Macaca mulatta: one gene and its partner. The protein of the gene in region 1 binds, or shares a complex with, the protein of each later gene. Links are inferred from orthologs where the notes say so. Each region holds a gene or a part of one and is shown on either strand. Other genes may lie near its edges.

The links.
Region 2: CC2D2A (region 1) and TMEM107 share a complex: the UniProt entries of both Homo sapiens proteins name them as parts of the tectonic-like complex. The link is inferred for Macaca mulatta from reciprocal best matches to the Homo sapiens genes CC2D2A and TMEM107.

The regions. Positions count from the first base shown.
Region 1 is NC_133410.1:14,561,644-14,565,219, reverse strand, and holds part of CC2D2A (coiled-coil and C2 domain-containing protein 2A), read right to left. Parts: intron 3,315-3,576; coding exon 3,213-3,314; intron 2,196-3,212; coding exon 2,019-2,195; intron 1-2,018. UniProt on the Homo sapiens protein: Component of the tectonic-like complex, a complex localized at the transition zone of primary cilia and acting as a barrier that prevents diffusion of transmembrane proteins between the cilia and plasma membranes.
Region 2 is NC_133421.1:9,692,329-9,696,601, forward strand, and holds TMEM107 (transmembrane protein 107), read right to left. Parts: upstream 2,859-4,273; 5' UTR 2,767-2,858; coding exon 2,680-2,766; intron 2,504-2,679; coding exon 2,436-2,503; intron 2,353-2,435; coding exon of another isoform or gene 2,335-2,352; coding exon 2,234-2,334; intron 1,397-2,233; exon of another isoform or gene 1,298-1,396; intron 1,131-1,297; coding exon 1,034-1,130; intron 789-1,033; coding exon 719-788; 3' UTR 464-718; downstream 1-463. UniProt on the Homo sapiens protein: Plays a role in cilia formation and embryonic patterning. Requires for normal Sonic hedgehog (Shh) signaling in the neural tube and acts in combination with GLI2 and GLI3 to pattern ventral and intermediate neuronal cell types.

The DNA.
Region 1 (3,576 bases):
CAACTGGAGACTTCTATCAACAGGTGAAGCCCAATTCTCCTCCATTTGAGAGTGCACTATGCCTCGTGACTTGCTTCTCCTGAGTAGAATATGGCAGAAGTGACAGTGTGTGGCTCCTGAGACTAGGTCATAAAAGGAAGTGTGGCTTATTTTTTGGGTTCTCTCCTAGATCACTTGCTTTTGGGAAGTTAGCTGTCATGTCAGGAGGACACTCAAGCAACACTGAATGAGCTGAATGCTGATTTGCAGAACGATTGTTATAGTATAAGCTAAAATATTCCTGAGCTTCTATAAATCTAGGTAAAAGAAGTGCATTTCTGGGAGGCATTTTTCAAAGGAGGAGATTATAAGCAAAGCAGAGAATTAAGCCAATTATGCGAATACTAGAATATCCTAGGGTGTTTTCATTATTTTTAATGTGGTAAAATATATATAACATAAAGTCCACCATTTTAACATTTTTTTTTTCTTTTTTTTTTTTTTTTTGAGACAGAGTCTTGCTCTGTCATCTAGGCTGGAGTGCAATGGCACGATCTCGGCTCACTGCAACTTCCGCTGCTCGGGTTCAAGTAATTCTCCTGCCTCAGCCTTCTGAGTAGCTGGATTACAGGTGCCTGCCACCACACCCAGCTAATTTTTGTAATTTTAGTAGAGACGGGGTTTCACCATGTTGGCCAGGCTGGTCGCAAACTCCTGACCTTAGGTGATCCACCTTCCTCGGCCTCCCAAAGCTGGGATTACAGGCCACCGCGCCCAGCCCATTTTAACCATTTTTAGGTGAACAGTTCAGTAGCATTAAGTAAATTCACGTTGTGGTCCTACCATTACCACTATCTGTCCATCTTCCCAGACTGAAATTCTATGCCCATTAAATGACAACTTTGATGCCTTCCTTTAGTCTCTGACAACCACCATTCTACTTTCTGTCTCTATGATTTTGACTATACAACGTAGCTCATATAAGTGAAATCACAGAATATTTATTCTTTTGTGACTGGCTTATTTTTCTTAGTGTAATGTCTTCAAGGTGTATCTATGTTGTGGCATGTGTCTGAATGTCCATGCTTTCTGAGGGTGTATACTATTCCATTGTATATTTATGTTTATCCATTTATCTGCCAATGAACACTTGGGTTGCTTCTACCTTTTGGCTTTTGTGCATAATGCTGCTATGAACATTGATGCACGAGTATATGTTCAAGTTCTTGTCTTCAATGTTTTTGGATATATACACAGAGTGAAATTGAATTGCTGGATCATATTATAATTCTGTGGTTAACTTTTGAAGAACCACCATACTGTTTTTCACAGCAGCTGCACTATTTTACGTGGTTGCAAGCAATGCATCAAAGTCCAATTTCTCCATATCCTCTATGACACTTGTTTTGTTTTTGATAAGAGCCATTCTAATGGCTGTGCAGGGGTATCTCATTGTGGGTTTGATTTGCACTTCCCTTATGATGAATGGTGTAAAGTATCTTTTTATGGACTTATTGTCTATTTGCATGCCTTCTTTGAAGAAATGTCTATTCAATGCCTTTGCCCATTTTTAAATGGTATATTCTCCTTTTATCTCACACATACCACCCACAGTTGCAGAATTTGAGTTGCAGCCTGGGTGTGGTGTTTGGGCACAAAAAGCTGCTTACTTTGTAAGGTTTCGATAAGAGAGAGACTGAGGTTTCATTTGCCTTGCAGAGGAACATACTTTGCACATGGAATAAATACTAATCATTTTGTGGAGTCTAGCAAGAAAAATCCACAAGCCACATTATTTAATTTTTTTTTTCACAAAAGAAAGATAAACAGGTTTAATCAAGGTTCTTCTTACCACATTGTAGGGTCTAACCCAGAGCACAGGGAGCCATGTGAATTCAGTACTTGGGATTTCAACTCATGTGGAGTGTCATTTTCCTGGTGGTGGTGGGTTTTCTCCTCAGCCACTTTCTTTCTTGCAGGTATATCACCCTTTTCCTCCTAGCCCTCCACCCACACATTACCATCCTGATATTAAATACCATTTCCTTTCCTCTTCCTCGTGCAGGTGGTTCTTCTTCTTCCCCTTCCTCCTCCTCTTGATTAGTTCCCGCTCTATGTCTTGCTTTTGGCTTTTCCTCTGATTCTTCTGGTTCGGGATCAAAGCTGAAAGTAAAGAAGTTGTAGGCCTCTTCTGGAGAAGGGAAGCCAGGTGGAACCTAACGAAAAGCAAGGAGCAAAATCGCAATTTCCCATTTATAAGCTGTAATGGGCTCTGCACAATTAACTGACAGCTGGCTTGATGCTAATGGGATCAGGCGTATTCCAGGCCTCCGAAGCATACTGTCTTAGTTAAAGGTGTGAGATTACTGGTAATAAACTTTAATACCTGCCACAGGCAGTGGGAGGCCTCCTTTAATAGTAACTCTAATCAGTGACTTTTAAAAAAACCCAGCAATTATTTACATTCCAATAAGTACATAAATATATTATTTATAGTAGTAAACACTTTAGATAAGGTTATTAAAATGACAAACAGTGGATTTATTGTTTTATCAGCCAATGCTGAGATAGTTTTTTGTTTTATTATGAGAAATACAGAAATTTTTAAACAAATGACCTTTTTTTGTTGTTTCTCTTTTTGAGTTAGTACTCTCCTTTTTTCCTGTAATGAAAGCTGGGGCAACTTCAGAGCTGAACAAATTGTCTCATCACCAACATTTCCTGTCTTTCCATGCACCCCCTCTTCCTCAAGTCAGGCAATATTCTGATCTGTCCAGCTAGTATGAAAGTTGGAATCACTTCTCATACTTTTTTCTTGCAGACTGCATGGCAACAGGAGTCAGGTTGTGTATGTAGTCATTTATTTATTTTTAATTTAGAGATGAGGTCTCACTCTGTCACCCAGACTGGAGTGCAGTGGCGCAATCATGGCTCACTGCAGCTTTGACCTCATGGGCTCAAGTGATCCTCCCATCTCAGCCCCCCAAGTAGCTGGGACCACAGGCATGTGCCATCATGCCTGGCTAATTTCTGTATTTTTTGTAGAGATGGGGTTTCGCCATGTTGTCCAGGCTGGTCTTGAACTCCTGTGCTCAATCGATCTGCCTGTCTTGGCCTCCCAAAGTGCTGGGATTGCAGGTACGGGCCACCACACCCGGCCTGTAGTCATTTCTCATTGGATATTTGTAAAAAGCACAAACGAACAAATGGTTTAAAAAGACAAGATTTCTCACCTGGGGTTTAGGCTTGATTTTTCGTGCAGAATCACGGAACTTGACTCTTGAATAACTTCGGGAATCAATTTCTTGTTGAGTACTTTCTACCTCTTTCCCTGGCTATATGAGTGGAAAAAAATGATGCATAAGCCATTTAAACCAAGAAACTTAGGCTGTTCTAAAATGAAGGTTTACCCCCCTGCCCCAAAGGCTTATCTTCTGACTGCTGTTGCATCTTATCATTCCTAAGGCATGGAATGCTGGCAAATTTCAAATGCAGTCATGCCCTCCATAGCGACAACCTGCAGAACTGCATGCATGACAGAGGTCGTACAGACTATAAATATGGTATTTTTACTCTACCCTTTTTATATTTACATAA
Region 2 (4,273 bases), on another chromosome or scaffold:
TGATTACGCAGAGACGTTAATCACGTTTCATGCATTCTCCAATCATCATGTTCTAATCTGCCCTCCAAAAGAGGAACAGGTAAGGATTATCCCACCTGACGATATTTCTAAATAGCCGACATTCCGCACTCAGTCAAAAAGATTCCGTTTACAGCTAGGGTGAGTTCACGACGCGTTGGTATAAGTAACCCTACTACTTAGCATCCTTCCAGTTGTATTGCCATATTTGCTTGCACATTTTTAAAAGAATTTTTTCGTTCGGCTGCCGAAAAGGAATAAATTTCTTTTTCCCAGAATGCTCCGATCATTTACGTGCTGGACGTTCTAACTGTAAGCACTTTCTATTTACATATCTCCGCCCACTCCCTTCCGCCAGACAACTACCGTAATAACCAAAATAGAAGCGATACCAAGTATCTTACGGTCTGCAGAACTAGAAAATAACGTTGCTTCTTTTTTTTTCTTCAGTAGTTTCGCCATTTCAATTGTGCCCTGAAAACTGTATATGTCTTAATCTTACTACAAAACATATTTTATTACAAACCACTAAATACAATGCGGATAATCCCAGACTCAAGACGTAATTATTCCAACACATATCCTCCAGCAGAAGCAGTTTCCGAGGGGAGGACCGAAGCCTATGCCTTCCTTCTTCCAGGAATACGAAGCGGCCCTTGCCCCTGTAGCCTTCGTCCTTAGGTTCCCGTCATGAAGGTGCTCAGAAAGGCTTCTTTTTCAGCCCAAAGACGGTGACGAATAAAGTCATTTCAGTGACAGCTGGAAGGGCACTACCGAGGCAAGTGGTAGATTCAGAAACCCGTTCAATATAAATACCCAAATCTCCAAACCAGAGACCCCACCCCTGAAAGTGTAGGACAGGTGGCATGGGGTAGGGAATGAAAATTCAAAAGACTACAGGATGTTAAGTGGATCTGGTATCTCCCACATAGAGGAAAGGGCTGGGTAGGGGAAAAACCCTCAGGTTTAGGGTCAGCCTTCCTCCCTCATTCCCGAATATTGGATGCTACCACACCTGCAGAAGACAAAAATGTACCAATACGTAGTGCACTCCCAACGCTCGAATATGAAGAAGGACAGGGCCACGGATGCACTACAGTGAGCCCCAATGGCTTGAGAAGGCACCACAGTTAAGGAAAGTCTTTGGATCGACAGATAGTGAGGGGTCAGAAAAGGCCAAAGGCCAGTGGTGGGGTTGGCATCTGCATTCAGGTTCATCGTTTGCTCCCTCACCATATTGCAAGGGCTAGAGTCAGCATCCCCGACTTCTGAATTTTAGGACAGTCATGTGAGGAGAGACCAGAAGTGACTGCGCAGATGGGATCTCAGGCTACCCTACTCCATATCTAGGGGCCAGCCTGGATCCTTCAGATGAGAGGTAAGAGTAGGCTCTCCTGCTATGCCACACAGGAGTGCTGACAGCGACTTGATATGCGCTGGAATCAGCCTCCAGTGTCCTGGTCCTCCTGGTCCACAATTCTCTGACCCATGTGCCTGGCTTCCGTTGCCTCTTCTGAGTTCCCAATGTGCTTTATATCTTTCGTTTTTTGCCAGAGTCTTGCTCTGTCGCCCAGGCTGGAGTGCAGTGGCACGATCTCGGCTCACTGCAACCTCTGCCTCCTGGGTTCAAGCAATTCTCCTTCCTCAGCCTCCTGAGTAGCTGGGATTACAGGAGTGCACCGCCACGCCCGACTAATTTCTGTATTTTTAGTACAGACAGGGTTTCACTATGTTGGTCAGGCTGGTCTTGAACTCCTGACCTCAGGTGATCCACCTGCCTCGGTCTCCCAAAGTGCTGGCATTACAGGCGTGAGCCATCGCACCCTGCCTGTGCTATCTTTACACACTCCCATAGCACACTGCTTATCACACTGAATTACAGATGTGTATCTACCTCCTCATGGTTAAAAAAAAAAAAAGTGGAGTTTTTATTATTACTATTTATTTTGTAGACACGGGGTCTAACTATGTTGCCTCCTGCGCGGGCCTCCCACAGTGCTGGGATTACAGACGTGAGCCAACGTGCCTGGCCAAAAACTGTATTTTACTCTCATTTCGGAATTTTAAGTGCCTAGTAAACAGCAGGATTTAGCACATGGTTGAAGATCTTTGAACTGGAGAGACTGGCTACAGCAGACACTATTGTGTCAGGTGGCTGAAGGGAGTCCTGATAGAAATGGGTCGTGTGGGAAAGGTGGGCAGGCAGAAAGGATACAGATGAGGCTCTGGGTGCTGTTGAACATGGAGACTCCTGAGAGGAAACCGGCCAGCTCCACTGCAAAGAGGCCCAGGGTGACAGAAAGCGCGGCCACCAGCCTGCAGAGAGGAAGTGGACTGGCCCAGGCCTTTGGACTTCTTCTAAGACCCCTCCACTCCCACCACCTCTTCGTTCTGGCCACCCCGTCCCAAGAGCTCACTGAATGTCCTGCTTGTCATACTCCTCGGGGGTGAACCTGAGAGGCAGGCAGGCCTGAATGTTGCTGTCCTGGGAGCAGGGCAGAGAGGAAGAGAAGTGAAAAAGGGGCAGGCTGCTGGGCAGGCCTAGGGACGGCGGAACACGAGAAAACCCAAGTGGGTAAGACACTGGGAGAGGGGCAGGGTGGGGCGGGGACGACTCCGAGATGGGAATGGGGGCGGACGGAGGGCAGCCGTGGGTCTTACCCGGGACCAGAATAAAGTGATGACGACCACCAGATGCGCCAGGAGCGTCAGGAAGCGAGAGGGCACAAGCCCTGAGACCCGGCCCATGGCCCTTGGGAACAAGAGCGGCGGTCTCTGAGGCTGGAAGTTCAGAGACTGCGACTCCCGCAAGTCCACCAGCAAGCGGACAAATCTAGACGAACTCCTCCTTTCCGCCAGCTCAGGCACCGCCCAGTTGCCTTGGTAACCGCGTACGCGGGCGTGCTGCCGCGTTCTCGGAAAACCTCGCGAGAGCAGTACATTCTCCATCTGCTGTGGGTCTTTCAGGGCTAACTCAGGTCAGGGGTACCCGAAGGAGCTTCTAACCCAATGGCTGGGTACCCGTGCGCAGCCAGGCCCTTTGTTTCTCAGAGGGTGAGGGGTGGCACAGCCCCGCAGCGCCCGATCTGCCCACGCAGGGCCGACGAACGGAAACCCACCCTGGCCTAGCCTGGGGACACCTCTGCTTCCGCGGTTGCCCACGCCGGGAGCGGCCCCCAGCCCCAGCTACGCTGCCCAGTTGTGGATCACTTGAGATCACTCCCACCGCCACGCCGGGCTGAGGTCCCCGCCATGCCGAAGACTCACACCCGCTCCCCTTCCTCCTCTCCTCATGCCTTTAACTTCCCACCAAGCTGGGCCTGAGAAACAAGGGACCCGAACGTGGAGAGGCCGGTGTTCCTGGACTGCTCGGCAGTTACAGATTGTCACAGAGCCCCTGGTTGTCTGAGGACCCTAGGCCTGAACCTTCCTTGAGGAAGACTGATTTCTCTCAGACTACTTTGCTCAGTTTGGTGAAGGATTTGCAGAGTGCAAAAAGTGGTCAGCGTCCTTAAACTAGCGTGGGAATAAGAGCAAAGCAAGGTGGCTGGAAAGGTGGGAGTGGACGAAGGGAATGGTACAGTCCCTGCGTCTCTGGGAGGCTTGGAGCCTACGGGAAGGGAAACTCAACTTAGATTTCTTTATCTCTTGGAGGTGCTGGACCTCCGACATTGCCCAGCTACAGTCCAGGAAGCTCTTATCACCGGCGACGTCATGACCTTTGGGCCTCAGCGCAGGTCCCTGCAGATCTGAAAGTTCTTCTCTAATTGCTCAGTCAAGTCCCATCCTCAAGGAAACTCCCGGCCCATTTCCCAGGAGAACAATATCTTCCTACTTCCCACTCGACGTCTCAGTGCCTTTAGCCAGACTAAAGTACAAGCCCAAGAGGCATTTCTCATTCCTTCAACAAATATTTTTATATATTTATTTATTACCTAGTAATAGTATTCTAGTCAGGGAGATCAACAACAGACATGCAAACAAATAAATCCGTAAGATAATAGGTGCTACAAACAGGGATACGCGGGCCAGGCACAGTGGCTCACGCCTGTAATCCCAGCGCTTTGGGAGGCCCAGGAGGGCGGATCATCTGAGGTCAGGAGTTCGAGACAAGCCTGACCAACATGCTGAAACCCCATCTCCACTAAAAATACAAAATTAGCCGGATGTGGTGGCGCGTGCCTGTAATCCCAGCTACTCGATTACTACTACTCGATTAGCTACTAAGGCAGTGGAATCGCTTGAACCCGGGAGG